3 linked regions of the Nothobranchius furzeri genome follow. The protein of the gene in region 2 interacts with the protein of the main gene of each other region in a biochemical or structural test. Links are inferred from orthologs where the notes say so. Each region holds a gene or a part of one and is shown on either strand. Other genes may lie near its edges.

Region 1 (8,821 bases), on a different chromosome or scaffold from region 2:
AACTGCTCTGTGTTACTTTAATTGTGTGACGGTCACATCACCGCGCACGTTGCATAGCTTACGGAAGCAGGAAACATGGCACCTAAGCAACACAAATGCTCGAAAGTTTGGTCACACTTTAAAAGAAAGGATAACAACAGGGTAACTTGCAATAACTGCATAGTAGATATTTCAGCAAGGGAAGGAAAAAGCATTTGGGCACAAATTACGCCAGTTAATGACGTGTTTTGACTCGCTCCAGACTAGTGAATATCAACACAGCAGCAGCGGTGACGTTCGCAGGTCCTCTACTGTTAATACTGCAAGTAACTAATCAACTAACACTGCCTATCACGTTAGTGTCATTAGCCTTATCAGGGTTTTTTCTGGCTCAAATTGAGGCAGAGGTAGTACCATCCTGACCATGCACCAGCACATGCATGCTCTGTGCATTCAACTGCCTCACTTTTTTAAAGGCCAAATATTTTTTCGTTAAGTGTTCTAATCTAAGCTTCTGTTGATTAATAGAATATTCCATTTGACGTTTCAAGTGAAACAAAACTGGTTTGCTGCTAAAAATATGAACAAAAATAAAAAACAACAAAATTATCAGGCTGAAATATGTTTATGTTTATTTATTTGGCAGATGCTTTTATCCAAAGCGACTTACAATTTATAACCTACAGGGCATGTTGTGATCTGTGGGGGAAACCGGAGTACCCGGAGGAAACCCACGCATGCATGAGGAGAACACGCAACTCCACGCAGAAAGGCCGCAGCCGAGTTTCGAACCTGCAACCTTCGTGCTGCGAGGCAACAGTGCTAACCACTGCGCCACCATGCAGCTCAGACTCTTATTATAAAAGGCTCAATATTATGCATTAGATTAGTGTTTAGTTCAATTTTTCCCATCTGATATTTAGAGTTAAAATATTTTTAAATATTTGAACTACATTTCAGTAACATTTTAGATTTGTATTAATAACACTCATCTTAGTCAAAATAACACATAAAAATATAATGAATTTCATTAACATGCATTTGTATTGGAAATGGTAATAACATTACATAATCAATTTCCCTCTGGGATTAATAAAGTATTTTTGAATTGAATTGAATTTCTGTTGCTAACAATGTAATGGTGGCATGTCTATTATGTACGGGTTGGCAACAATCCAGTTTAAATTATGTTCAGAGATAGAGGCGTTTGTGAATTATATACTACAACGGCTTGCCGTACTTCCTGCGCCAGCAGTAATCAAATCAAAGATACTTTATTAATCCCAGAGGGAAATTACTCGTATCTGCAGCGGTTCTGATCCGTAGCGCTGCAGGATGCAGAATAAACAGGACGGTGGGGACTTTTCATCCGCTTGTAGAGTTGTCTTTCTTAGTTTTACCATCATCATATATTTTTCTGTGCACCACTTGATCGTGAGACTGCTACCCTTTAGCTTTAGCAATAGCCAATCTGCGTGTAGCTGCACTTTTGATCCCAGACTTTGGACCGGTTCTGCCTTTGCTGGTTCCTTCATTTTCCTCCACTGCATCCAGATTACCACACTGTGTGCCAGTAAAAAGCATTTTTCTTACACGTAACTTACTTTTGTTCAATGATGTTCTGGGGAAAATAGTAATTCAAAGATGTTGCACCAGTGCTACGTTTACAAATAGACAAGACACGCACAGACAGTTGTTTTCGTGGCACTGTACAGCCCTGCTCTGATATGGAAGAGCCTGGGGGAAGATCAGGACGTCAATAGCACCAACCATAGATATGTAACTAGCGAGAAAAGCCATTTTTGATCTTTGTCTGCAGCGGTTTTAGGGCTTTTTGGTGCACCGCTGCCGATACAGCGCACGGGTAGTGGCGCAACGCTGCAACTGCAGTTAAAATAACATCTACCGTAAATCCTCTAATATTAGCCTGTATTTAATTAAATTATTATATTTTGGCCGGTGTCTGAGTCAGCGGAGGTGAATAATGGCCGGTTTTTATTGTGGCCGGGTGGAATGTGGTAACAAGCAAGTACGGGGCCGGTTGTGTCATCCGTCTCACTTTTGATTTGCCAGTGATAGACCGCGAGGGAAACTTTAACCGTGCGGAGACGAAGAGGAGGCGAAAATTTGATATCAAGTTCAAAGAGAACGTGCTGATTATGCTGCAGAACACTCTGGGGAGCAGTAGCAGGGGTTGTATGAACTAGTCACTAGTCAACTTCACCACTCTATAGTGACTTGTTATGCCTGTCATCGACTAGTCGCTGTCACATGATAATGACCGGCAAGATGCAGCCCTCGGAAAAGACAGCAGCCTGCTGTCAGCAGGGGACAAGCTCCTGCTCGTCGGGAGGCAACGTGCTGTGCCAGAGAGTCGGTACTGACACCCACCGTAAAACGGACATTTAACCAAATTGCGACGTTTACCCTCTTGCAATTTAACCTTCCCCTCACCCCATCCTAACCTTAACCAGCTTGTGCATGCAAAGCTCTGATTGTTGACACGCTCCAGACATCTGCGTCCTGAGCACGGCCACAGTAACATTATCAAATCAGGTGTCACCACCTCAAAAACTAATTTAACACGCGATCGTTCATGTTGGCTCATATCCTTTTATGTTTTCTGTCTTTTATTTGTGCCTGATGCGTTTCGCTGCTGTGGAGCGGGGCACATCACCTGTTTTGTCCTCGGTGACGCACCTAACTGATGTGGCCGGCGAGCAGCGAGAACTCCGCTGTTTTTGCGGTCGGTAGATCTTTTAGAACTGCAGTTCAAAGGTAACTCATAAGGTGAATATATATGAACCCAGGTAGCAGTTTTTCTTTAGGATTGAGAGGAGATGCAAGAAGATAATAAGCAGGCAGGACAGAAAAATAGTCAAATAAAAACAAGTTAGTTTTTGTACCTGGTGGTTGCAACAAACAGACACCATTGAAGGTAATCAGAAGTGAGGAACAGAAAATGAAATAATTATTTTAATGTTTAGAGCAGCAGGAACTCTGAGAGGCTGCAGGTGCATCAGTGAGTTTGCGGCCGCTGCGCAGGGGGAGGGGGGAGAGGGCTGAAGCAGAAACTACCGTTGTTAAAAGAAATGTGTTTAACTTTGAAAATGTGGGCGCAATTTTAATTGTCAAAAACTCCAGCGAACCATTAGTTCATTTTGCTCAAATAGAAATTGAAGCCTGCCTCTAATTCTGGCCCTCCTTCCAATAAAGCCCTGGAGCTTGATGAGCTTGAGTCAAATACAGGCCCGGGCCTGTATTAGAGGATTTACGGTATATAGCTGGGGGCAGAGAGAAATCAGGCTGAGGCAGCACACAATTAGCTGGAGGCGGCCGCCACGCAAATTTGAATGCAAGAAAAACCCTGCTTATACACACACACACACACACACACACACACACACAACTCCACACTAGCAGACTCCAGCGACAAAGGTCTGACCTGTAGTGAGATTTTTCCCACTCGGCATATGCTCCAGCAACACTGCACCAAACAAGATGATGACGTTGCCTCCACAGAAAGCATTAAGGAGAACATTTGGAAAGACATTTCTAACTGATACAGGTACAACTGATTATTTATCATAAATAAACCGTCAGTTATAACACAGGAGGCCGTGTGCTATTAGTTTTTTGCCACCTTTGGAACTACCCTGGAATTCATAAGGGAATTGATAAAGAATTAAATCATACTGACTTACATAGGAAAGCAGGTCAGAGATGGCACAGGCATTTTGATAAGCTACATTACACGCCCCAAGCAGTCTATATCCACTAACAATGAAAATTTGGTTTAAATTTTAGCTACCATTTAAAAACAAACACAAAGGCTTTAATTTAGTTATTTCTCACCAGTCCTGACTCTCAATCCAGGGGGCGAGGAACTGCCGTAGCTCCATAGGGAAGCTGTCACTATACAGGTGGTATAGTTGCTCCAAATACCTGGTCTCCAGCTGCTGTAACTGGTTCCACTGGGCCATCCTGACACACGCAGTTTCTAAGAGAAAATGCAGAGCAGAGCAGAATGCACATACAAGATGCATTAAGTGTTTTTAAATGCCTTAACAGAACTTCCCTCACGTTTACCAGCAGGAAACAGCCAACTGTCGCGTTTACCCTGAAAACAAAGTCAGGAAAATGTGAAGCCTCCTATTCATTCTCGTCACTTCCTGCTTGCTGAAACGCTAGACTTCCGCCAAGAAATACAGGACGTCCTGAACAGCTGTCAGCTCTCGAAGTAGAGAGAAGTTAATAATCTCAACCAATGTTTTTTGTATAAAGGCTTACTAGAAACAATGAAGAAAAAAACACACTTCCTTTCCTCAGCTGTCAGCGACAGAGCACATGGATCAGAAACTACAGAACCATTCCTGTCTTTAATGATTAACTTCACATTGCATTTCTTAGAATTATAATGCAACTTCAGATCAGATCTTTCATTTACCTTGTTACACAAGGCTTTTATCTGACCAAAATGAGGTTGCATGGGTCCCTGGAGGATTACTGTCTTCTGCACACCGACAAAAAAGGTATTCAGTGAATCCAGCAGAGCCGTCTTCCCTGTCATGGAAATTAAATACCAAAGCAAAGCTTTTGTTTAATGCTTACATTACAAGGATAATGTTACGGTATCACCTAAACTCTGGTGAAGCACACAATCTTAACTTGTACAATGAGCTTGGCAGTATTTGTATACACAAGCTAAAGCAGAGCTAGTGTAACAGCCCTTCTGTTTGGTTTCATGATGCGATCCACTAAATAAAACAGCCGTAAGTGTTGATAAAATTGTAAACGATAAAACTTGGGACTTAATATTCTGTCAAAATCTTTCATGATTCAGCATATTTAAAAGAAACAGAAACATTTAATAATTTATTCCATTCAAAACACCCAAAACATCAGCATTATGTAGGTCTTATCTGACAGCACACACGATTAATAGTTTCATCGTAAATCTGTGTACATTAGGCCACGTGACTTGGAATATGAAGGGAGGCTATTCTACATTTAGGCGTGACTCCTTTGTAAAAGCTAAAAAGAATAAGGTCAGCGATATCAGCATCACCCTGCGATGGACTGGCTCTCTGTCCAGGGTGTACCCCGCCTGATTGCTCATTGACACCCCCCCCCCCCCCCCCCCCCCCCCCCCCCCCCCCCCGAGACCATATGTGGACAAAGCGGGTTCAGACAATGGATGGATGGATGGATATCAGCATCACCTGTTTCTGCCAAATTTAAAGGTCAATGGAAAAACAGTGTTTCATAAGCTTTCATTTTATCCTTTAATACGCTGAAATTCAAACATGTTTTGATACAGTAGTTAATACGCTGTAATAAAATAAGAACTGAGCTAAAAAGGTGTTTTTTAAGCATTTGTGTCACCTTATATAAGTTCACATCACACATGCTCCTCTTTCACTGGTATATGAAAATGATGCTAACACATGGTGAGAATTGCTGAGGAAGTGAAACCCCAACAAACGTGACATCACAAGAGGATTGCCCATGGTCAAATCAATGGTACTGCTTTATTTAGAAAATTTTGAACAAACGCCCTACCTTCTTACCTGCTATCCAAAAAGAATAAATGCTACTGGAGTTATCTCTCTCATGTTTTTGATGATTTAATTATGTTTGGGGAGGGTCCTGGCTGTATAATCAATTATTCAGTGTCTACAGTCACAGAGGAGACACAGTAGTGCTTGATTATTTACTTCTTTTGTTTAGCTAAGAAGGTAAAAACAGCCAAAATTTTCTGTAAACTGATGCACTGGTGAGTCCCAGGACTGTGCCCTTTGTTTGGTGGATATTTTACAAAGACCTTTTGCTGAGGTCACACACATTTCACATGATACATGATAGGAACCTTTTGAAGATGCTCATGTTACACAAAGCTACACACAGACAATGATTTGGCCTAATTTTGTCAGTATCCCATCATATGAGTATTTTCACACTCCAGACGGGCAGAGTAGGACTTCAATATTCAACATGACTCATAAAAAAAAAATTCTAATCTTGTTAGGTGTGTTTTGTCAGTGAGCATTTACCACTTACGGTAATGCACAATGAGATTCCTTAAAACAGACAAGCCACATTCCAGGAAGTAGAGCTCTCCACAAAAAAAAAAAAAGAAGCAATCATGCCAAGTTTGTCATTTTACTGACAGTTAACAGGCAGGACACTTGCGGGTTATTGGACACAATAATAATGATGATCATAATGGGTTTTCTTTTTCAGTTGTAACATCATCAAACTAAAATAGTAAGTGTCATTAGTCAATACTACACTTTTCTTTTCTTTTAATTTTGAAAGTGATCATGGATCTGATCCTGTTATGCAGCTCTGCACATGATGGGGTGAAGATGAGCGTGACAACAACGACGGCTTATAACAAACACTGGCCTGGAATTTTATGGGGTCATATTCATATCCTGGAAGATGCTCTTTCTCTCTTTTACTGTTTTTTTAATTTTTTTTTGTTTTGTTTTACCAACAGATCGAAATTACTGATAAATTGAGCCAAAACACATTATTGAAAGTAAACAACAACAACAAAAGAAAAAAAAACAACTATTCAAGACTGAACGTCTTAGCTGTAATATTTTATATCGGAAATAATTAATTAAAAGCAGTAAGGCAATAATAACTTTGCTATATGCCATAGCGGAACACAATGTTTCTGCACACAGAATAACTTATGACCAGCACAAATAGGCGTTTAGCAGCGTTCAGCTGGCCAAGCCTTTTATATCATGGCCATTAGTAAATATAAACTGATAACGGGTTTACATAAAAAAAACATTCACAAATAAAGATGGAGTAAGTTAGTTTGAATGCAGTCGCTTACCCGAGTCGTTGTCACGTCTTTGGAAAGATTCTCCGACAAAAACCCGAAAACTGTTAACTAAAAGTACACTGAAGGCAACACTTAATTTCTTCTAAAACGGTAAACCCACATAAACGAGAGAAAACACTCACAAAAGATGCCAACCTTTACTCTTCCCTTAACAACACGAGAAACACTTCTTCAACCCTAGAGCCAGTAGCCCAACCCATCAGCCGCTCTGCAAGTCTTTTCAGCCAATCAAACGCGCTTCTGTTGTTGATTGACATTCCAAGTGGCAAATAGCAATATAGAAATTTCTGTTAACCAAATCAGAGCAGATGTGTGACGAAAAGATGCGCGGCGTAACAGCATGTTTGGTTGAGTGCTATGTTTACTGCTGTCGCAACTGGGCTGTTCCTCTTAGTCCTCCCTCCTCGGGGTTTTCCGTTCAAAGAACAGCATGTTCGGCTGTTACGGAGGGAGGAAAGGCGTTTGAAAAGAAGAGCCAGCCTGGAAGTCATCTGAGTTACTGGCAATGCTGACGTCACCGAGTCTAATAACACATCTGCAGTTTAGTGTTAATCCTAACGGGACAAAAATAATTAATACAAGTGTCCAAACGTAATCAAACTAAGTTTATTTAAAATAATATTTATAAATGACACACGTGTGGATAAATGGATTTATAGATAGATAAAACAGTCAACAAACCTTAAACTGGTGGATTATGTAATAAGCGTTTATTAATATTGAACCTGTTTGGCCAAAACACCTTGAGTCTGGCAGGTACAGTCAGTGACATCAAGGCCATACGCCACTTACAGATGCAACAGTGAAAAGAAAAGAAAACTGAATTACACCGCTGCAAAAACACATTTAGGTAATGGGAGATCGTTTATATATCTGTCAAAAATCAACACAAAGATAAAGCTATAAAATAAAAATGATAATCTTACAAGCATATAATTTATTTTTATGTAAAGATAACAATTCCCCTTGGTGTGTTGTAATAGTTTGCATAGACTTGTAACACGATCACACGCATGCTTTCTTTTGTCTTTCTCACTGCTTAGCTTTCACAGAGAGAGAGAGAGAGAGAGAGAGAGAGAGAGAGAGAGAGAGAGAGAGAGAGAGTAAACACTTTCCTTAATTGCATTTCCCCATCCATTGATTATTTGGGTGGTGTTTCCTCTGCCACAATGCTTCTGGGTGCCTGCAAACACATCAAGGTCATAGAAGTCTGCAGGGAGGAAGAAACAGAAGCACTCCTCTTGTTTCTGTCTGGAGCCTTGCACGGTTTCCTCTCATGATCTAATGTGACAAAGGTTGAACGCTGCCACAGGCAGTTGACTTCACATTCAGAATAGATTACCGTAAGAGATGTATCCTCCCATTATGTTTTGCTCTTTATCTGACAAGAAAAAACAGTTTGATTTTATAATTTATATGCAGAGACGTTTGGTTAAACCAGTAGCGACATTCGTTTCATTATCACTGCAGGTTGCTGTACAGTTACATTGCTGTTGATATTAGTCCCATGATAATCCTAAAACCCCAACGATTGGCTGTGTCCACTAAACTGGATTTAAGATAGTAGATGCATTTTCACATGTTTTACTCTGGCAGTCATTTAACTGCCTTCTCCTCTTCAGGCCATTCTCTTTTTGTAAGCAATTATATTGAACATTTTTATCAAGGATGTGCACATGTACTGTGACGAGCTGTGACCATGGTGACAGATGTTCTTCTTTTCTCTGTAGAAGTGACTTGAATGCATGCTGGTGAGCTCATACTGTATATAGATGCATCAAAAGACCATTTTTGAATGTGAACGACAACAACACAGTTATGGTTACATCCACATTTTCAAGCACTTAACATTAAGACACACAACAGAAAACATTACATATTCTGTTACAGCCTCAGACAGATTCATTTACTTGATAAATTAATTGTAAGTAACTGATTGGAAACCCCAAGACATGGACGAGTACTGGTTTTTAAAAAGCT
Region 2 (11,406 bases):
CTCACCACCTTCAGATTCCTCCAACACCGTTAAAAATGATCAAATACTGAACATATCCTGCTGTTGACAGCGTGCGCAAGCCAGAGCGCTGAAACTCGGCGCATTATTATGAAGCTAGGGCACATGCGGAGGACACACACACACACACAAGCAAAATATACTTGTTTTCCAATTACATTTATTGGGCCCACCCACAAAGGAGTTTCTGGCTACGCTAATGGTGACATATGACAGACTTCTCTGAGCTCCGCAGCCATTACACTTTTCACCTCGCGCACCCCCTAGCGGCAGCTCGCGCACCACACTTAGGGAGTCCCTGCTCTAAGGTAGAAAAGAGAGAAAAAAAACTCCAGATGCATTTTTCTGATTTTGTTCCCTTACAAGGATATTTATGCCCTGTAATTATATCGGCATTTAGAGGGGCAAAAGGGTTTCCGTTAAACAAACACTGTCTCTGAGGAGAGATCCATCCTGCAACAGTTAGTATGTTCAAATGTGTCTAGGAGGGATTTTTAGGTCCAGTGTTAGTCTGAACAATCCACCCACAAGCTGACAGCTCTGAAAACAAGTTATCAAACCTGCCAATAAAAGGCACGTCCTGAATGACACCCTGCAGCAGGATCTCTGATGATGCAGCATGATAAAGACTCGCTGCCTGAGTAGCTAGACTCCACCAGGACTGGTGTCTGATCCTGTCAGCAATCTTCATGAACGGAAGCTCACATCGCAGTCGAGTGGTTTGGGTCTCATCTCTGCTTTAGGTGACAGCAGATGATGTGGTTCTGTTAGCATCTTCAGGCTATGATCTTTAGCGTGCACTAGCATGCTTCACAGCTGGGGGCCGAGGGCTGGGATGAGAATCAGCTCCTCTAAGACCGATGTCATTGTTCTCAACCGTATAAAGGTGAAACACTCCCTCCAGGTTGGAGCAGAATAATTAAAGTATCTTGTTAACTAAGAGATGGATCCAAGTAAAACAGAATCTATTAACATCAGCTGGTAAAAACGTTTATAAATGGAGCAGCAAACAGTGTTTTCATTCAGTTAGATGCAATGGTTGCAAATGCAGCTTCATGAAAAGTTAAACACTTAGCATGGAAGCAGATAGCAGCTATTTTTAGGTCTGATGGGATTTCCTTCAGATCAAGAGTCGACTGTTCAGTTATCTGAAAAAGTGCTGTGCTCATTTTCTAATGATGACAACAACTTATTATCTAAAGAACGTAAGCTTTGTTTTCTCCAGATAAGATGAATACGATGAAAATGGGAGAAATTCCTGTGTTACGCCCGTTTTCTTCATTTAGTAGCATTGCTGTGACTCTTGGATGATTAAAACTTATTGATGTGCTGTTTACTTTTGAATCAGTTGCAAGCAAGACTGACCTGATTTCTGATGAAGTAGCCCTCTCTGGTTGTGAGTTAGAAATAACTGTCTTAACACATTGGAGCAAGCTGTTCCAGGTCAAAATGTCTACATATTTCAGCCTGTTATAGCAACAAAACAAGCTTTATCCCCAGTGAAAGCATTAAATAACAAAATAAACCATTATTAAAAGACCTGCAAATGAAACCATATTTGTAGGCCTGTCATTGTGCGGCTTCCAAACGTCCGAAGTTTTGTTTTGTTTGGCTCACACACAACGGTAAAATGTAGACTTCTGTTATTTACTCACTAAGTAAAAAGATCTGTTGGATTTGAAAGATCTCATGTCAGAATAACACATGGATGCTGAGGGTGCTGTTCTGCAGCATCTCTTACTTATGAAGCATGTTGGAAGTAAAACTAATATTATGTAAATATTAAATAAAGTCTCAAATGTTGGGATGAACTCATGTGTTCCTACAATACAACTGTACTTAACAGAACCTCTTCCTAAAATAAATTTAGGTTTTCTTTTTATTTCCCATCAAATGATTTGAAAAATTTGTTGTACATCCAGTATAAAATCCACACACATCCATTTAAGTTACAAGTAATAGTTAACCCAAACAGGGGAAATGCCCCCAAATTGTGAATATTTAAAAAAAAAACTGTTTTGTACATTTTAGTCCTGAAAAGAAAGTTCTACCTCACTGGTGAACATGGCACAAAAGTAGTCGCTGCAAGCAGCCAAGACGATCCGGTGAGCAGGAAAATCCGCGTTGTCCACCCTCAGAGTGATGTCGCAGAGTGTGTTACTCTTGCGGAGTGAATTCATTGCATTGAGGATGGATTTAGCATGGGAATTTGTCATGATGTCTTTGGGAGCCATGCTGTTTGGAGGATCCGTCATAGATCTCAAACTCCCACAGGAACCTAAAATAAATACATCAAGACAAATAAACGGAATTCTTGCAGACCACAATGCCATCTGGGAACAGGAACAGAGACAGGAAGCACCGGATTATTGGATTAATAATAATAATAAAAACTTTAGCATTGGCTCATTAGTTAAAGATTATTCAGGAACCATCATGACTACTGAAAAAACATTTTTGATGAATCTGTAGAAATCATTAGATGTGTGTGTATTGGTTTGTTGTTTTGTTTTGGAAGAAAAAAACAAGGAAAGACATCAAATAATGTCACATCTGTCAGTGGAAGAGTCCACAAACAGGTATTATCCATCCTTAGGTATTTAAAAGCTGATATGTTGATTAAAACCAGACAAAAAAAAAAAGAATAAAACAAACGTATTTGTCAAACAAAAACCCATGTTTGAAACTACAAGTACATTTAGTTAGAACCAGGATTTTTATTTGATCGTGGTGATGAAACTTACCGTGAAAAGATCCTAACACTTTTTCCACCACTGGGAGGCAATAACTATAGCTACACATGAGCTAAAAGCAGCACTGAACAACAGCTGACGGCTAACGCCAACGCCACACAACTTCAGAAAACAGCAGCTACAAAAGCGGCCTGTAGGCCAGAGGGAGACAAAACAAGAAGCGACACACACACAAGAACTTGGCAAGAATTTGCATTATACCTGCAGGGCAGAGTCAAAACGTCTAGCTAAGTTGTTTTGCTAACTAACTGTAGCAGCACCAAAGTCTCAGTTCAAACCGCCCTAATCCATCATGACCTCCGTCAGGTCACACCAACACACGGCCTCCGCGGGGACGGGTCTGTTCAAAATATCAAAATTATCTCATATTATGTCCCAGAACGATCTTTGAACACCAACAATTTAACGTTGACTAAACTGCAGTGGGTCACAGTAGCGCCACCAACAACATAGTTGGCAAGCAGATGTATCATATAATAGTTGGACACGAACTTTCAAACAAAAATCCAGAATTCACTTGTTCGTAGTAAAATGAATAGCCTTTAGTCTGTGGTTGTTGTTGCTGTTGTAGTATATGTTGTTACATGACTATATGTTGTTACATGACGTTGTTACCTGATGTTCAGACATGATGTTGTTACTTGATTTTGTTACATGATGTTACTTGATGTTGGTACCTGATGTTATTGCATGATGATAGTACATAATGTTGTTACCTGATGTTGTTACAAGATGTTGTATAATGTTGTTACTTAATGTCACCTGATGTTACCTGATGCTGGTACCTGATGATGTTACATGATGTTACGTGATGTTATTTGATGTTGTTACCTGATGATGTTACATTATGTTGTTACCTGATGTTGTTACTTGATGTTGTTACATGATGATGTTACATTATGTTGTTACCTGATGTTGTTACTTGATATTGTTACATGATGATGTTACCTGATGTTGTTACCAGATGTTGTTACATGATGATGTTACATTATGTTGTTACCAGATGTTGTTACATGATGTTATTATTTGATGTTGTTACTTAATGTTGTTACCTGATGTTGTTACCCGATGTTGTTACCGGATGTTGTTATATGGTGTAGTTACTTGATGTTGTTACTTGATGTTATTACCTGATGTTGTTACTCGATGTTGTTACCTGATGCAAAAACAAGGTAAAATAACACTTGCTGTGTTAAAAAGAACAGTAATGCAGTAGAAATGCAGAACAATTTAATAAAACAATGTCAAATGTTATGACATGTTACTCATTTCTATGCACAGTGTAGAAGTAAAATGCTATTTGTGACCAAAGTGCCATTTAAAAAGATGAACTCAAATGTCAACTCACTTGTGCAGTGGAAATATGAACTAGACAAAGACATGGACAGATATGTTTGCCACATCTGAAGGGGATAACCTAATATAAATTAATGGAAAGCTGACATAATTTGCTTCAAAAGTTTGTTTTCCCTGACAAAGTCTCAGTTATGGAAAACTTGAGACACAATTTTAATATTGTGACAGTTTTGGTTATCATTGGTTTTGATTTTATAATTCAGATTGTCATTTTGACAGAAATATTTACACTGACGTTCAAATTACTTTTTAAATGTAATTATATTAAATGTTAAAACAGCTTGCCAAATTCACCGGCAGCCGGGGCGATGACGTACACAGTGCGTGAGTGTGCGTGCGCGCTCCCCAAAGAGCGAGACGCGTTTTTTTCCCAGAAATATGATGCCTCCCGCGCGTCCTCGCCTGTTGGTCGCTGCTGTTTCAGAAATGGTGAGATGACGATTCTGTGTCAACAGACTTACTTTCCAGACTTGAAGAAGTGCTGTGAATCCTACACAGATATCTCACAGCAGCAAATTAAAACAAAACAAAACACATTGTGCTCTTTTTAGCCACCCAAGGACGACAGCTACACCGTGTAGGAGGAGCTAGCGGCGTGTTTCCGTTAAGAGTAGGCCGAGATGGCGATCTAAGCAGCCGCACTGAATGCGAGCTAACAGCGGCCGAAGATTGGGCAGCTACTACCGGAAACCGATTCACTACTAATTCTTTAATTACCGGGAAGCTGTGGTTCTTCGTTTTGGGCTGGGCGTAAAGAAAGAGTGGCAGCTGAACTGGAAGCAATGGAAGCCGAGTTCTTGGAAATCGATGAGAACGAGAGGTGGAGCGCCATTTACCAGGTAGGAACTATCGGCTGATCATCAAGGTGGAGACACGAACCGTAGGTGAAGCTGTCATTTTAGGCCTGCTCACAACGAGTCAGCAGATATATAAGGTATTAATAATAATCAATGTTTTTATTAGTCACCGGGACTTTTCTGGGTGTGTACAGCCTTGTTCTGATGTGTCTGTCCGGGTATAATACCTGCAACACTCGCTAGGACCCAGGAGTGGCCCGGATCTGTTCTGACTTTAATAAACCTTTATCAAGTGTCCATTAAAACGTTAATCACGTTTTAAAATGCTGTTTAATCACTACTCATGAGTAACTACTTTATTATGATAATTTTAAGTGTGTGTACATGTTTACCTGCATTAACAGTGTTAATAGTGTGATGTCTAGACTCTTTTTTTCTTCTGTTTTTCTAAAGAATTAAATTTAGGAAGTAAGGCCTACATGCACTCAGATCCACTTTCACAGTGTGTGAAACCTAAATCTGCTAAAATTTATTTGGTAAATTTTATTTTGTCTCAGGAGATTCGCCAGCAGTCCAGCGAGTGCGCATGCAATGATGCCAAACTGCCTGAAAACAAGACTCGAAACCGTTACAGGGATGTCAGCCCATGTGAGTTACACTTTGATCATCAGCAGACTCGTTTGTTGTTTTCTCTCGGTTATTATAACCATTCTTAAATTCAGGTAGATTGTGTATTTCCTATCATACCCATATAATAATTCAAAGGTGACAGATTGTAAATTGTTAGGATTGTCTCTTTGAAACTAATTTCTAAATTTTAAATAAGAAAACAACAGTAATTATACAAGTTAGAAAATGTAAAAATAGTTACTATCCACAGAACTAAATCCATCACAGTCCAGCAGCTGAGCTTTGCTGGTTTCCTCTTTTTCACACTGAATAAGCTATGCAAATTGTGCAGCTTGGGTTGCAAATACTTAGTTTTTATTATTCACATCTAACAAGATGTGAAAATGAGGAACCTGAAACTTTTGCCCACATTTACATCTCATATGAAGGATAGGTGGTTACCTCTGTTGTTAGTTTGCTCAATGACTCTTTTCTCATCAGTGTTGCGATGGTAGGGCTGTTCCTCCCCTTCTAAACAACAACAAGACATTTTTATCTGTCTTTTGTCCCCGCTCCTCAGTTGACCACAGCAGAATACACCTGCAGCTGGGTTCCAACGACTACATCAATGCCAGCCTGATAACTGTTGAAGAGGCTCAGAGAAATTATATTCTTACTCAGGTAAGCATCCTGAAGATTCACTGTCCTCTGTATGATTTTACATACAGACACACATCTACTGTATGTAACACGTCTTGGAGTTATGATGTCAACAAATGATTTGGAAAATGGAAGAATACCACAGTGAGAGCATATCCATGGGATTGATCAGTGAGGGAAAAACAGCAAATAGAAAAGCAAGAATATTAAGAGGAGTATATATCAGGCTTTCTATTTGAAAATGGTGGAAATGGGCCATCACTGCTTGTAGTTAAAATGCTGGATGTGGACTAAACTGTCACAACTGCACGTGTCACAAAATCAGAGGCAGTGGCTCGGGTCCAGCTGGAGCCGTGGTTCTGTATGTCTGTATCACAGTACGCTGGTAAAAACCTGGAGATTAGAACGTGGCTGGATCTGTTATTTATTCATCCCGTGCTAATATTGTTATCTAGTGATGCGAAGAAGAAAGTGTGATGTCTTTAAAGGAGTGGTTTATTCCCTGTTTAGGGACCCCTGCCGAGTACGTGTGGCCATTTCTGGGAGATGGTCTGGGAGCAGAGGACCCACGGTGTGGTGATGCTAAACCGGGTCATAGAGAAAGGATCTGTAAGCAGTCGTCTGTCCTTACCGAGACCTTTTAATGTGTCCATTACTCAGGAGTCACGCTACTCTTTTGTTTTCACATGACCTTTGTTTGGTTTTAGATTAAATGTGCTCAATACTGGCCGCAAAGAGAGGAGAAGGACGCCATCTTTGAAGACACCAACTTCAAGGTGACTCTCGTCTCGGAGGACATCAAATCTTACTACACAGTCCGACAGCTGGAGCTGGAAAACCTGTTGGTAAGTCCTCTCTGTTGAGCTGTCTGCCTGAGATAAGAGGTTATTTGACGCTGAGAGCCCGTGGGTCCTGAACACCTTCTGCCACTCGTGATTTAGTCATGAAGACAGAGAAAATATACACGGTGTCTTGTGCTTTAGAGCAAATTAGGAAGGATAAAAGCTAAAGAAGAATTTAACTATTACATCCACAATTTTTACAGAGCTAAATAGTTGTAACTCGTATTTTCAGTTTGGCAGGAATGTCAGGAGCTGGTCCTACGTCTCATCACTTCCTGGTTTTGATCTATAATTTTGCTGCTGAAGTTTGTGGAGCATGAACTGATTTGTTGACAGCACTGGACCTTTCTGAAAATCTGTGTTTAGTTGGGCTTTTCTAGCTGCTGAGGGGATTTGATGCTAACCTATAAAAGGAAGTTTTTTTCCCTAGTTTTTGCTTTAATGCTGATCTGAGCTGAAACATCAAGTGGAAGTTATTTTCATCTCGACTTGGCTTTGGTTTCCATCTGTGGTGCTGTGTTTGACGTGTGACGGTTTTATTTCTAACCCCAACCCTTTCCCTACAGACTCACGAGACGCGTGAGATTTTACATTTTCACTACACCACCTGGCCTGATTTCGGGGTACCAGAGTCTCCCGCCTCCTTCCTCAACTTTCTGTTCAAGGTGCGAGAGTCAGGCTGTCTGAACTCAGAGCATGGACCTGTGGTGGTCCACTGCAGCGCTGGTATCGGACGCTCTGGGACCTTCTGCCTTGTGGACACTTGCCTCTTGTTGGTTTGTATAATTTGTATAAACTCCAGCATGCAGTGAGACAATCACAAACAAAGCAGTCGCCTATCTGAGGAGAATCACTCTGACTGCTGTCTTTGTGTTCAGATGTCTCTTCGTAAGGACCCGTCATCGGTGCGTATTCGCGATGTGCTGCTGAAGATGCGGCAGTATCGAATGGGTTTGATCCAAACTGCGGATCAGCTTCGCTTCTCTTACCTGGCTGTCATCGAAGGTGCCAAGTACATCAAAGGAGATAAATCTCTCCAGGCAGGTTCTTCCTCTCCTCTTCGGAGCTTTTTATGACTGTGCATTCTGCTGAAGTCCTTTTAGTAAACAAGCTTTCTGCTTCTGAAGGAATCGTGGAAAGAGCTCTCTAACGAGGAAGATGATCCTCCGGAGTCCCCTCCCCCTCCCCCTCCTCCTCCGAGAGACCCTCACAATGGCAAAGTGCAGCCACCTTTTTTCCCTGATAAAGAAGAGGTCATCCTGAGGTGAGCATCCCAATCATCTGCGGGCTTATCTGAGCATTGGGGTGGGGGTGGTTCCTAATAGAGCTGCTCCGTGCTTCGATTGATAGTCAGCATCACAACGTAGGTATGTGATGTGATGGGGGGGCCTTCATCTGTTGGATCAGGTGAGATGTTGATCAAACGTTTGAAGCTACTATGAGGATGAAACGCATCAGGGGTCTATTATGTTGGACTGTAGACGTGACACTTGTTGTGGACTAACTAATATATTGGAGTCATTAATTTGACTCTTGGGGACGTAAAATCTTTTTATTCAAGATGGCTGTGTTCCGTCTGTGATGGGACGCTTCAGACGTTGAGCTGGACATTATTTAGCATTTCAAATCAAATCACTTTTATTGTCACGTCACACGTGCAGGTACACTGGTACAGTACATGCGAGTGAAATTCTTGTGTGCGAGTTTCACAGCAACAGTTGCAAAATACACATATTCTGTGTTATATAGCTAAAAGCGTTTATTGTGTCTACAGTTCTGATGGTATCATGCTGACAAAACAAACTCCGATTTGACAAGGAAGGATGTAATTTACCTCCCGTGGAACGTAAAAGGCTGACTGGTTATTCATCCAAAAAAGGGCAGGAGTGCAGCACGACTGAAAGTGCTATTTAAGTGATCTGTTGAAGGTTTCACTACTTTTCATTATCGCAAGAGTTGGAAAAGAATCACAATGTGATATTTTTTATTTATTTATTTTTGCCTATATGGTTCAACGCAAGCCTCTCCTCTCCTCTCCGGTTAGAAAAGAACATTTTTCCCACCATACTGAAACAGAAACGTGACTTTTAGCACAACATTTTTCTAAAAAAAAAAGTGTATTTATATAGCGCCAAATCACAACAACAATCGTCTCAAGGCACTTCACAAGGTAAAATTGGGTTCAGTTCATAATGGCAATTAGGCTTGGGTGTTATCCAAATTTCAATATCGTTAAGCTTCCTCTACGTGTTACCACAGTGTACGGTATTTCCATGAGTAATTAAAAATTATGACCTAAAACTCAAGTGGCATTAACAAAGTGTTGGCTTGGACTGTAACAGTTCAGAAACTGAATCTCAACACTATTGCCACCAAAAAAAACAAACATATTAAGCATAATGTTAACATTTTAATTAAAAAAATGCTGCTCATTATAATATTTTTCGCCAGAAAAACCTGCACGTTTACTTTTCCAGATTCAACATTGCACCTTCTGTACCAACAACTTTGCCTGGGGTGCTGAAAACCTGCTCCGATGGTGCGCTTGTGGCACAGACACAGGCTTTTGGGCCAGTCACAACTTCTGGGGAAGAAACTAGCAGCATATTTCTACCAGAAAAGTGAATAATAGGCTCCAAACCGGCTGTTATTTTAGCTCTCTAGAGTTCATCTGCGGTGCTGACGGGACCTGCATCTCTTGCTGTCACCTCTTTATTGCACGAGGAACACTCTTTGACAGGGAAACGTGGATTGACGGAACACCGGCTCTCCTTTATCGTTTGCTTGGAATCCAAAATACTTCCAACAGCAGAAGTTGTGTTTATTTTTGACACCGAGTCAGTAGGTGCACGACCTGCCATCTCTCTCCCTGTCTCTCTTAAGGTGCGTCTCTCTCTCTCTCCTCCGCGCTGTCACATGATGACGTCATGTTCATAAACTTTACGGAATGTCTCCAAAAGTCGACTATAACATATTAAACAATTTAACTAAAAATGAAAATTCAACAACACGTCAGTTTTACACATCAAATATTTTTTTTATATTTAGTCCTTATCTCCTAAATGCACTACATTTTGTTCATGACGTATTAACACTGATAGTGTTGCTCTTTTTAAACACCAGCTGTATACAGTAATACCATAGTACCACCAAAGTCTAATGCCGTTTAAAGTTTCCTATATAAGGGAACCCAGCGGATTGCATCGTCACTGACTTTACAACAATCCTCATGCTAAGCAAGCATGTAGCGACGGTGGAGAGGAAAACTCCCTGTAACAGGAAGAAACCTCAACAGAACCTGGCTCAGGATGAGCAGCCATCCACCGCAACTCACTAGCTTACACATCCATATCAATGTTTGCTTTAAACTTTATTCTTTGTGTAAAACGACTTGATGGATGCATCCATTAAACTCCAAACCTAACTGGGAGACATCCATCTGTCTTTTTCCTCATTCAGGGAAGACCTGCGACAGAGGATCTTAACCGCTGCAAGGCCTCCTTCTGATAGGGCTGGTCAGCCGGACCGGCATGTGGGAATACCTCATTCCACAGCTCCCAACACATCCCAGCAGGAGGAGGATGAGCCGAAGGCAGCGGAGCAGCCAAAGGAAAGCTCTCCTGTGCCGGGGACCTGGTCCCCTTTCCTAGTCAACGTGTGTCTCTGCACAGCGGTGACCCTCAGTGCTTACATTTTTTATCGAGCCTATTTCCACTGATGTCTCTTTCCTCTTCCTGATTGTTTTTGTTCTGTGTCACAAAGTGGACTTGGCTGCCTCACCAGCCTGCTCTGACTCTGTCAGTGAGCTTTTGTTCTATTCAGGTTGACCTGTTGTTATTTTTATAGCTGCAGCAGGAGGAGCTGCCACTAATTACCCAAACGTCGTTTCTGTACGCCATCACAGACGCTCAGGACCTCAGTTCTTCAGGTGCCACAACCCAAACGTGCGTGTGTGTCTATGTGTGTGTCTGTCAAGTACATCAGACTGCGGCTGTTGGGAGGGGTTGTCTCCAAGCTGCTGGTCTGGGAACCAGGATGAGAACCCTGTCTGCCCGTTTTATATGCATCTTATTTACCAAAATGACAATTTTGAATGTGACTTTCTGTTTTCTTTTTCATTAAGATTTAACTTTTTGTTTTATTTTTTAGCCCACTTGCTAACACAGATGGGTCTGAAATGTTCAGTCCTGATTTTTGACAAGCCAGTCAGAAAACACGCCAGTAGGGGGGGGGGGGGTTAAAGCGGAGTGTGTATAGAAATAAAAAAGTGAATTCATGCTCACTGATTGCATGCAGATGTGGGCTTGGAACTGTGATCTGTCCACACTAGTCGCCTCTGATTGGCCGGTTGAGTGTGTCTTCTGTGTATCT
Region 3 (8,831 bases), on a different chromosome or scaffold from region 2:
TCAATAAAGTAATGAAAGACATTGATATTTCACTTAAGGGATCTTTATACATTCTTCGTATACAAAACCATCTTTAATAAATTCGGGAGGTGGATTTGTGGGCAAGAACTTTAACGATACATTTTTAATGACGTACTTTATCAGGTCACAGTTACACGTGTTTCCAATGATGTGGTCAGACCAACTGTGTAGGTTAAAGTTCAGAGTTCACCAGTGGCTCATCTGTCCAGAGAGGCAGATGAGGAAGAGTCCATGTGATTGGTGATGGCCTAGAAGGAAGGGGAGGAGGATTCTCCATTATGTCGTTCATGGGACATCAGGACAGAGGTCATCCCAGTCTGAGCAGATGGTCTGTGGGCAGCATCATCAGGGAGAAGAGCACAGGTAAGTTTTTCTCGCTGTATAGCATGTATCATACTAACTGTAAGTGATGTAACCGCCATCAATGTGTTTGGTCCCTTTTCTACAGTTGAAAGACGACCAAATGATGTTGGAAGGACTTGTCTTTTCTCCCAACAAGAGGCATCGTTGTTGACACCATCGTTCAAAATAATGAAATCCAGCAGAGAGATTAAAGATGGAGCCAACTTTGATGGAAGAAGAAAGTTTGTATCGAGCTTTTCTAGATAAAAACTACAAGGCACTTCACAAGAAAATAAAATAAATGAAAAAAAATTAAATATATATTGTTATATAATAAAAATGGGAGAAATGGGAAACAGTTCAGAAAAATGTGAATAAAAAAGAAAATGTCATCACAGGAACATGAAAAAGAACTGACAAACACCAGCATGAAGAGAAACTAGTGAAGATTCAGCAGAAGGTGACATTAAAACCAGCCTGGACAGGTGAGTTTTCAGCTGCTTTTTAAAGGAGACCACTGAGTCCACTGATCTCAGGGGGAGAGAGGTCCAGAGTCTGGGGGCCGCAGCAGCAAATGATCTGTCACCTTTGGTCTTTAGCCTGGTGCTGCACAACCAGTAGGCTTTGATCACTGGACCTCAGGGACCTGCTGGGGGTGTAGGGACTAAGAAGATCACCAATGTAAGATGGTGCTTGTCCATGTAAGGCCCTATAGACCAGAACCAGGATCTTGAAATGAACCCTGAAGTTGACTGGCAGCCAGTGAAGCTGGAGGAGAAGCAGGGAGATGGGGGTGTGTTTGGAGGACTTGGTCAGAAGCCGAGCACAGGCATTCTGAACCACCTGTAGACGGTTCAGGGAGGTTCTGCTCAGACACGTGAAAAGAGAGTTACAGTAGTCTAAGCGTGAGGAGATGAAGGTGTGGAGAAGTCTCAAGTTCAGAATGGGACTCAGCTTAGCAATGTTCCTGAGATGGAAGAAGAAGAGCGAAAAAGAGAACTGGCATGAGAATCCAGGGTGAGAACTGGGTCAAAGGTCATGCCAAGATTCCTGACAGAGAGTTTGGTGTGAGAAGCAAGCTGACCAAGAGAGTCTCTGACTTTGGGAACCAGCTTGTTTGGGGCACAGATGAGGATCTCAGTCTTATCTTCATTCAGCTGTAGAAAGCTCCCAGCCATCCAGGTTTTGATAGAGTCTAAGCAGGTGTGTAACAGCTGCAGCTTAGACATCTCATGGGGCTTAAAGGAGATGTACAGTTGGATGTCATCTGCGTAAAGATGGTAGGAGACTCCTTTGAAGGAGCTCAGGATGTGCTGAAAAAGAAGCAGACAGAGGATAATTGGAAGGAGGAAATCATAAAAGCAGCAGGAATGAAGGAATGCAAGAGACTGTTTACTGGTTTTGCTGGGAGCACTGGTGTTTATAAAGTCCAACATCTGCTGGGAGGATGGACCTAGGATGCAGCAGTTTGGCACTGAAGGAGCTTCCAGCTCCACACCAGCTTCATGCATGGGATGGAGGACACTGTCCAACAGTGATGTTATTTTCACTAGAGTCCTCTCTCCCACCCCCAGCTGGGTCAAGGGGACATGCTAGGACAGAACTTCTTAATCAGCTTCCCGTCTCTCAGTAGCCCCAAACCACACAAAGATGGTGGATGGGAGGGGGGCTCGGGCCCTTTAAGCGGACAGGATCCAGCCTGTGGTGGGCGGACGGTAGCAGCCAGCTGTGCTCCACCCGCTCCGCTCGGCCTCCAGCCGCAGCTGCTTCATGCTCCAGCTGTTATAGCCGCGCGTCCGTGGGGGGTGAGTCCGAGGCAGAGTGACTTGAGGGAGGACCGAGAACCGTCAAGTCTGCGGGTCATACGGACGATCGCATTACCGCTGCTGCAGATCTGCGCCTCTGAGGCGCATTTTTACGCAGCAGTCCAGCTGGACTGAGACAAATCCCGACCTCTTCCTCCCGCTGGGAGCTTTCCTTTCCTACCAGGAGTCTTTTCCATGGAATCCACGAACGGCTGACGCCAGCGCAGCTGTGCATAAAACCCGCTAGAGACGCAACTGGCAGGAAAAGGCGCAATAGGACAGCTGCAGCAAAATGTCTATCCCTGTAAGTATGTCAGACGCATGTTGGTGTTCCCAGTCGTTGCTCCGGTGTTCCATGTTAATGGTTGTAACAGCCTGGGCCCGGGCCGCCCGGTTCCATAGCACTACAGTAATTAAGATGTTATCATGTGAGCCCACACATATTACTGTAACACGGTGTGTGATATGTGCTGGTGGTGACATGTTACTCTTTGTCTTTGGCCTACATGAAGCTCCAGCGGGTTTAAAGGAGCAGCCCGCCCCTTCCGGGAGGCTGTTTGCATGAAGGCCAATGTCAGCCAGGGTCTGGTGGCTTCATTCCAGCAGACCTGGCCAGTCAGCTCAGCAGAGCAGCTGATAGCACTGTGTGTGTGTGTGCAGGTGTGCGTGCGTGTGTGTGTGTTTGTGTGTGTGTGCAGGTGTGCGTGTGTGTGGAATAAGGCATTTGCTCGAGCTTGTTGAGTTATTTTCCATCAAATTCCAAAGGATCTGTTTCACAAACACTGCCTAAGGATCTCTCTCTCCCTCTCTCTCTCTCTCTCTCTCTCTCTCTCCTCTCTAACTGAACTGATGCTTCATTTTGTTGGGGACGACAAAATCCTACTGGCACTTTAATATAAAGTTATTAGACGATCTTACCTTTTGCAACATTTTTAAGCTGTTCTGGGAGGCTTTGCGGTCCAAAAGAATGATTTTAAGACCATCAGTGAATGGTGGGAACAAGGGAAGGCACAAATTAGAGTTTTCTGTCAACATTACACGCGGGGGTCTACAAACCAAATAAGAAAGACTATGGCAGATCTAGAGAAGGACATCAGGGTGCTAGACTACTACTCAACAACAGCACACCTTAGACCAAAAAAAGACAGCAGCTTGGGCATTTCCTGCAAGAGAGGGCCAAAGGCGCCTTGATCTGGGCTCGTCTCACCACAATACAGGACATGGATGCTCTGACATCCTTCTTTTTTAACCTGGAAAAGACTTCAAACCAGAAAAAACAAATGGCTGGCCTGCGTCTGTCAGATGGACAGTTATCCACAGACCCAGTGGAGATGAGGAAGCATGCAGTAGAATTCTATACCAGCCTATTTAAGGCCGCCCCATGTGATGTGAACTGTGCCAGAGAGCTGTTGCAGGGGCTTCCTTCCTTGACCACAGTAGACCAGGGAATCTTAAATGCAGACATAACCATGGAGGAACTTACAACGGCAGTCTCCCAGATGGCTGCAGGTAAATCTGCGGGGATGAACAGCTTACCCGCTGACTTCTACAAATTCTTCTGGAGCAGTATTGGACAGGACCTGATGGATGTTTTTAGAGACTCACTTCAGACAGGAGCACTTCCTGCATCGTGTAGTTGGGGCGTTCTGTCCCTGCTGCCGAAAAAAGGGGACTTAACCCAACTAAAAACCTGGGGACCAGTTTCCTTGTTGTGTTCAGACTATAAGATTTTTTCTAAGTTCCTATCTAATAGACTTCGGGGATTCATCAGAGGTCTAATCCCAGACGATCAGTCCTTCTGTATACCAGGAAAGTCATTAATGGACAATTTATTTTTAATGAGAGATGTGTTTGATGTTTGTAAAATGTATGATGTAAACGCAGGTATCATTTCTATTGATCAGGAAAAGGCGTTTGATAGGGTTGATCATGAGATCCTGTTCTCTACGCTACAGGCCTTTGGTGTTGGGGGGTCCTTCCTGGAAGGGATTAAGATGCTGTCATGTCATGTCAGCTGTATGGTGAAGGTAGCGGGGGGCCTGAGCCAACCCACCAGTTCTAAGAGGAATCAGACAGGTTGTCCCATCTCAGGACAACTGTATATTTTAGCCATTGAACAGCTGCTGTGTCGGCTGAGGAACAGGCTGAAAGGTGTACACCTACCTTTACCTGACTCCAGTCCTCCCTTAGTTGTGTCTGCTTATGCAGATGATGTGAATGTTTTCATCCATGATCAGCAGGATGTACAAGAACTCAGATCTAGTTTACGTTTACATGAGAAAGCATCCTCAGCTAAGGTTAACTGGGACAAGAGTGAGGCATGTGTAGTGGGGGGTGGGACCTTGGTGATGTCCCGCCTCTGCCAGAAGGGTTGAGGTGGGGAACGGGAGGTATTAAAACACTAGGCATGTACTTGGGTAGGGAAAGGTTTCAGAAACAGAACTGGGAGAAGGTGCTGGAGAAGGTGGAGGCGCGGTTGTCTAAATGGAAATGGCTGCTCCCTCAGCTGTCCTACAGGGGCAGGGTTCTGATAGCAAACAACCTCGTCGCCTCGTTTCTGTGGCAGAGACTGATTGTACTGGTTCCACCACCCCGTCTGCTGGAAGGTGTTCAGAAGCTGTTGGTGAAATTCTTCTGGTCTGGTCACCACTGGATCAGAGCTTCGGCTCTTTGCCTACCCGTGTCAGAGGGAGGACAAGGACTAATAGACGTGGTGTCTAGAACTGCAGCCTTCAGGTTACAGACAGCTCAGAAGCTTTGTTATGGTGACGGACTCCGCTGGCTCCCCCTGGCTCATCTCCTGCTGCAGAAGGTTGGTGGGCTTGGGCTGAACAAACACCTGTTCCTGTTGAATCGGAAGGTGTTGGATCTGACAAGGATTAGTCCGTTCTACTCATCAGTGCTGGACACCTTTAAGCTGCTGGCGGTTTCCCGAGCACCTGACACGGGACCAGGGACATGGTTGCTACAAGAACCCTTGTTTGACAATGACTTCTTCTCTCAAGCTGGCATTTTAACTTCGTCTTCGTTGAAAGTGAAGTTCACCGATGCTGGGATTGTAAAGTTTGGCCACTTACTGAAGATCCCGGCTGGAACCCTTGGTGAGCGGGTTGATGTGAGGTCCACCAGAGTGATGGAGAGAGTGGTGGAGGAGGTACGGAGGTCCTTGTCTGTGTCGCAGAGAGCCTTCGTTGAGACTTGTACTCTATCTGACCAATGGGATGATGACAGTGAGTACGTTTTTCCATCTCTGGAGGTTAAAGCAGCTGGTGAGGGATGGCAGGAGGAGAGTGGATTACTGCTGAACCTGAACTCTCCAGTGTTGGGCTCCTTCCAGTCTTGTGGGAAGAAACAGATCTATCACACTTGTGTGAAGGTTATCAATAGGCGCTCCTTGTTAGGAGTCAAGGAGTTGAGGTGGACTCAGGTGTTTGCTGCGGACCGTGCCCCTGGGGGCAGCTGGAGGACTTTGTATAAGTCTCCAGTGGAAAAAAGGGATGGCAGACCTCCAGTGGAGGATCATACATGGAGCTTTAGCTACGAACAGACACAGAGCCCACTTTGATCCAAGCACCGGGGAGGGATGTCCTTTTTGTAACCAAACAGAGACCCTAGAGCATCTAGTGGTAGCATGTTCTAGGTTATCAGGGATGTTCAGGGTTTTAGAACGGTGGGTTAGTGCACTGGGGGAGGCTTTTACCCTTCCGTTATTTGTTTTCGGGCCCAAGTACAGTGTCAGAAAAAACGGACAAAATTGTTAATTAACTTTTTATTTGCATGTGCAAAACTAGCCATCTGGAAAACCAGGAAAAACCAGATGCTGGGACAGAGCTGGACTGATGCTGAGCGGAGCCTGAAGGGCCTGGTGGAAGCTCGCTTGAAGATCGAACACGCTTTTTATGAACTTACTGGGAACCTGGACTCCTTTAGAGCGGTGTGGGGGATCGGGCAGGTGCTCTGTCTGCTGGATGGACAGGGCTCCCTAAAGATCAACTTCTAAACTGGGTTTCTCAGTTTTCCTGGTTTTATTAGTGGAAAACAAGTTTCAGTCATTAACACTGATTGTTGATCTGTAAAGAAATTTAAATAATTTAAAAGTCAAAGTCTCTCTCTCCTCTCTCTCTCTCTCTCTCTCTCTCTCTCTCTCTCTCTCTCTCTGTCTGTCTCTCTTTGTCTGTCTGTCTGTCTGTCTCTCTCTCTCTGTCTGTCTGTCTCTATGTCTCTCTCTCTCTGGTCCCCCCCCCCCCCCCCCCCCCCCAGTTCAAGCCATAACTAACACTCACATATTCAGCAACAGAACACCACTGTCAGGTTGGGCTTAAGGTTGTTGACCTAAGACGTGATGAACCAGTCACAACACGAGATAAATCAAATAACATTTACTAAAGGACAACTTATGGAGTGCCACCGACTTGGGGCGAGGAATGCTGAGGCTCTGGCTCCAGAAGAGTGACTCGCTGGGCTGAGGAAATATGTTGCTAAGGCTTACAGTTCTGTAGATGGTCTTGAGCTCGAGAGGGGAAGAGGTCCAGTCCAAGGCAGTGGTTGTAGGTAGAGCTTGTGCAGGAAGGGGCACTCGAGGCTGGTTCTAGATTTCCAGACAGGATGAGTGGTGGAACGCTGGAAGGTCTGGTTGCAGGGTTTGAGTGTGGATCAGGGAGGTTATCGTTGATCTGTTGGTGATGGTTGGAATACCTGGAGAGTAAAGAGAGGTTAGGGAAGTCGAACGATTCTTAGGTCATTTCAAAAAGGTGGCAGGTGACTCTCAGCTTGGTGGCACCAAAAGCGAGTTATCATCCGGTGACCTGTGTATTGTTATTAAGACTCTGGTTCCTCAAATAGCCAGACCCGGTGATTGGCAAACTGGCAGCTGGGCCCGCTCTCCCACCTGCAATCAAGCACTCCCAAGCCGTTTTTACAAAACAATGCCATTATTTGCTGCAACGCCGTGGCGGCATCAGGGAGCTTTATGTTGTTTATAAGTGGTCAGTGGCCATAACTGTGGCGGTACAGTTGTGCAATCATGTCCTTTTTACTAGCATTATGCAATGGTGGTATAAAGGGGGTATGGGGCGATCTCTGCGCTGCCGCGGACTTCCGTTTATCTTGGACATAACTTGATTTTTTTTTATTACGATTGAAGTCGTGCTCGTTAAGTCTTTTAACAAGCAGCTCCTAAAGGTGTCTGATCACCACTCCCTGTGCAGTCTCTGGTGATCTTAGTTCCAGCTCTAATGGAAAGAAGCTCCTGGAGAGCTGCATTGCTTCAGTTTAACATCTCAGCTGGTTCTGTTTACAGAAGGGGAATTCACGGCTCGTATTTACTTTCATTTTCTATTTATTTTCCAGCCGGAGCTGGGCAATAACTCCCCATGTGATCGGGACACCTCCCTCTGACACCTCAATCACCGTTTATAAGACAGACAATTACAGCAATATTACTACCAAGCAAGGCAGAACGAATGCCGCAACATTAGTGCAACGCTATGCTGGCATGGCGCGTTCATAAGACACGCTGTTGCGGTAATATTATGCAGATTTTCCGGCAGTGTGTGTCTTTTAAAAAGGGCTGTAGAGGTTAGGTGGTAACCACTCACCTCAGACTGTGACAACTACTGGTGTTTGAGGTTCTTCACTCAATAATAGCAGAAGAGAAACAGCCGGCTGCTACCATTTCAACTTCACGACAAACTACCAGAGTCCCAAAAAGAAAAATACTATTTGAAGTCACGGAGAACTAAAGACGTTTGGACCTGGTGTTTAGTGCTCTCTTGGTCCTCTGGCAATGTGGGTTTCCGGATCCAGGAGAAGCATCTCAGTGAAAATATCCGAGGGGAGGGGCGAGCGTTCTGTGACTGCATTCAACACCTAGCTTGTTTGCAGATTCACCATAACAGCTTTAGAGTTGGAATATGGAATATTTTATATAAAAAATACTCCATGGGGCATTCAGAGATGTTCAGAATAAAAGTATAGTATAGTTTCTCACCTGTAGACGGTTCAGGGAGGTTTTGCTCATTTACTCTGAACATGGTGCTAGAACGTGTCAGCAGTGAACCAACATAAATGATAAATGACCCGCACTTGTATAGCGCCTCTCAGAGTAAGGACTCCAAAGCGCTTAACACTACAGTGTATCATTCATCCATTCACACACACATTCACACACTGATGGTGATGAGCTATGATGTAGCCACAGCTTCCCTGGGGCGCACTGACAGAGGCGAGGCTGCCGAGCACAGGCGCCACCGGTCCCTCTGACTACAAATGTCTTGCCCAAAGACACAACAGCAGAATTCTCTATCCGGGGCCAGGATCGAATCTGCAACCTTCTGATTACTGGACAACCCGCTCAACCTGTTGAGCTACTGCTGCCCCATCCCAGCAGCTGAAAAATTAGTCCTGTTGTTGCAAAACCACCTCTGACCACCAGAGTTAACCAGATGGTCTATGTTCGATAGTCAACCATTAAGCAGGGCTGCCAACTCTCAGCATTGACCCTCTTCACACGCTCTCATGCCACACCGCCAATATCTCACGCGGAACCAGCGTGAGCTGCGGCTGCGCACGCCGCCAAAATGACATGCTTTTATTTAGAAATGCAGCCGTGTCGCCAGCCGATTTAGACGCAGCTTCAGTCCTGAATGTTTTTTGTCTTGTTTT

Evidence for each region. The genes of interacting proteins can lie anywhere in the genome.
Region 1: of the proteins of ptpn1 (region 2) and stat3, one has a biochemical effect on the other in vitro, tested with the Homo sapiens proteins (2 studies listed by BioGRID and IntAct). The link is inferred for Nothobranchius furzeri from reciprocal best matches to the Homo sapiens genes PTPN1 and STAT3.
Region 3: the proteins of ptpn1 (region 2) and bcar1 form a complex in vitro, tested with the Homo sapiens proteins (3 studies listed by BioGRID and IntAct, with this or other methods). The link is inferred for Nothobranchius furzeri from reciprocal best matches to the Homo sapiens genes PTPN1 and BCAR1.

The regions. Positions count from the first base shown.
Region 1 is NC_091745.1:6,841,559-6,850,379, forward strand, and holds the start of stat3 (signal transducer and activator of transcription 3), read right to left. Parts: upstream 6,974-8,821; 5' UTR 6,833-6,973; intron 4,543-6,832; 5' UTR 4,427-4,542; intron 4,100-4,426; 5' UTR 4,026-4,099; coding exon 3,835-4,025; intron 1-3,834. UniProt on the Homo sapiens protein: Signal transducer and transcription activator that mediates cellular responses to interleukins, KITLG/SCF, LEP and other growth factors. Once activated, recruits coactivators, such as NCOA1 or MED1, to the promoter region of the target gene.
Region 2 is NC_091755.1:52,045,555-52,056,960, forward strand, and holds ptpn1 (tyrosine-protein phosphatase non-receptor type 1), read left to right. Parts: upstream 1-4,693; 5' UTR 4,694-4,909; coding exon 4,910-4,966; intron 4,967-5,481; coding exon 5,482-5,572; intron 5,573-6,113; coding exon 6,114-6,214; intron 6,215-6,703; coding exon 6,704-6,802; intron 6,803-6,900; coding exon 6,901-7,038; intron 7,039-7,601; coding exon 7,602-7,811; intron 7,812-7,913; coding exon 7,914-8,075; intron 8,076-8,162; coding exon 8,163-8,299; intron 8,300-10,494; coding exon 10,495-10,753; 3' UTR 10,754-10,873; downstream 10,874-11,406. Other genes in the region: kelch-like protein 12, read right to left, coding at 2,070-2,296, 2,763-2,820. UniProt on the Homo sapiens protein: Tyrosine-protein phosphatase which acts as a regulator of endoplasmic reticulum unfolded protein response. Mediates dephosphorylation of EIF2AK3/PERK; inactivating the protein kinase activity of EIF2AK3/PERK.
Region 3 is NC_091754.1:40,233,734-40,242,564, forward strand, and holds the start of bcar1 (breast cancer anti-estrogen resistance protein 1), read left to right. Parts: upstream 1-1,858; 5' UTR 1,859-2,460; coding exon 2,461-2,472; intron 2,473-8,831. UniProt on the Homo sapiens protein: Docking protein which plays a central coordinating role for tyrosine kinase-based signaling related to cell adhesion. Implicated in induction of cell migration and cell branching. Involved in the BCAR3-mediated inhibition of TGFB signaling.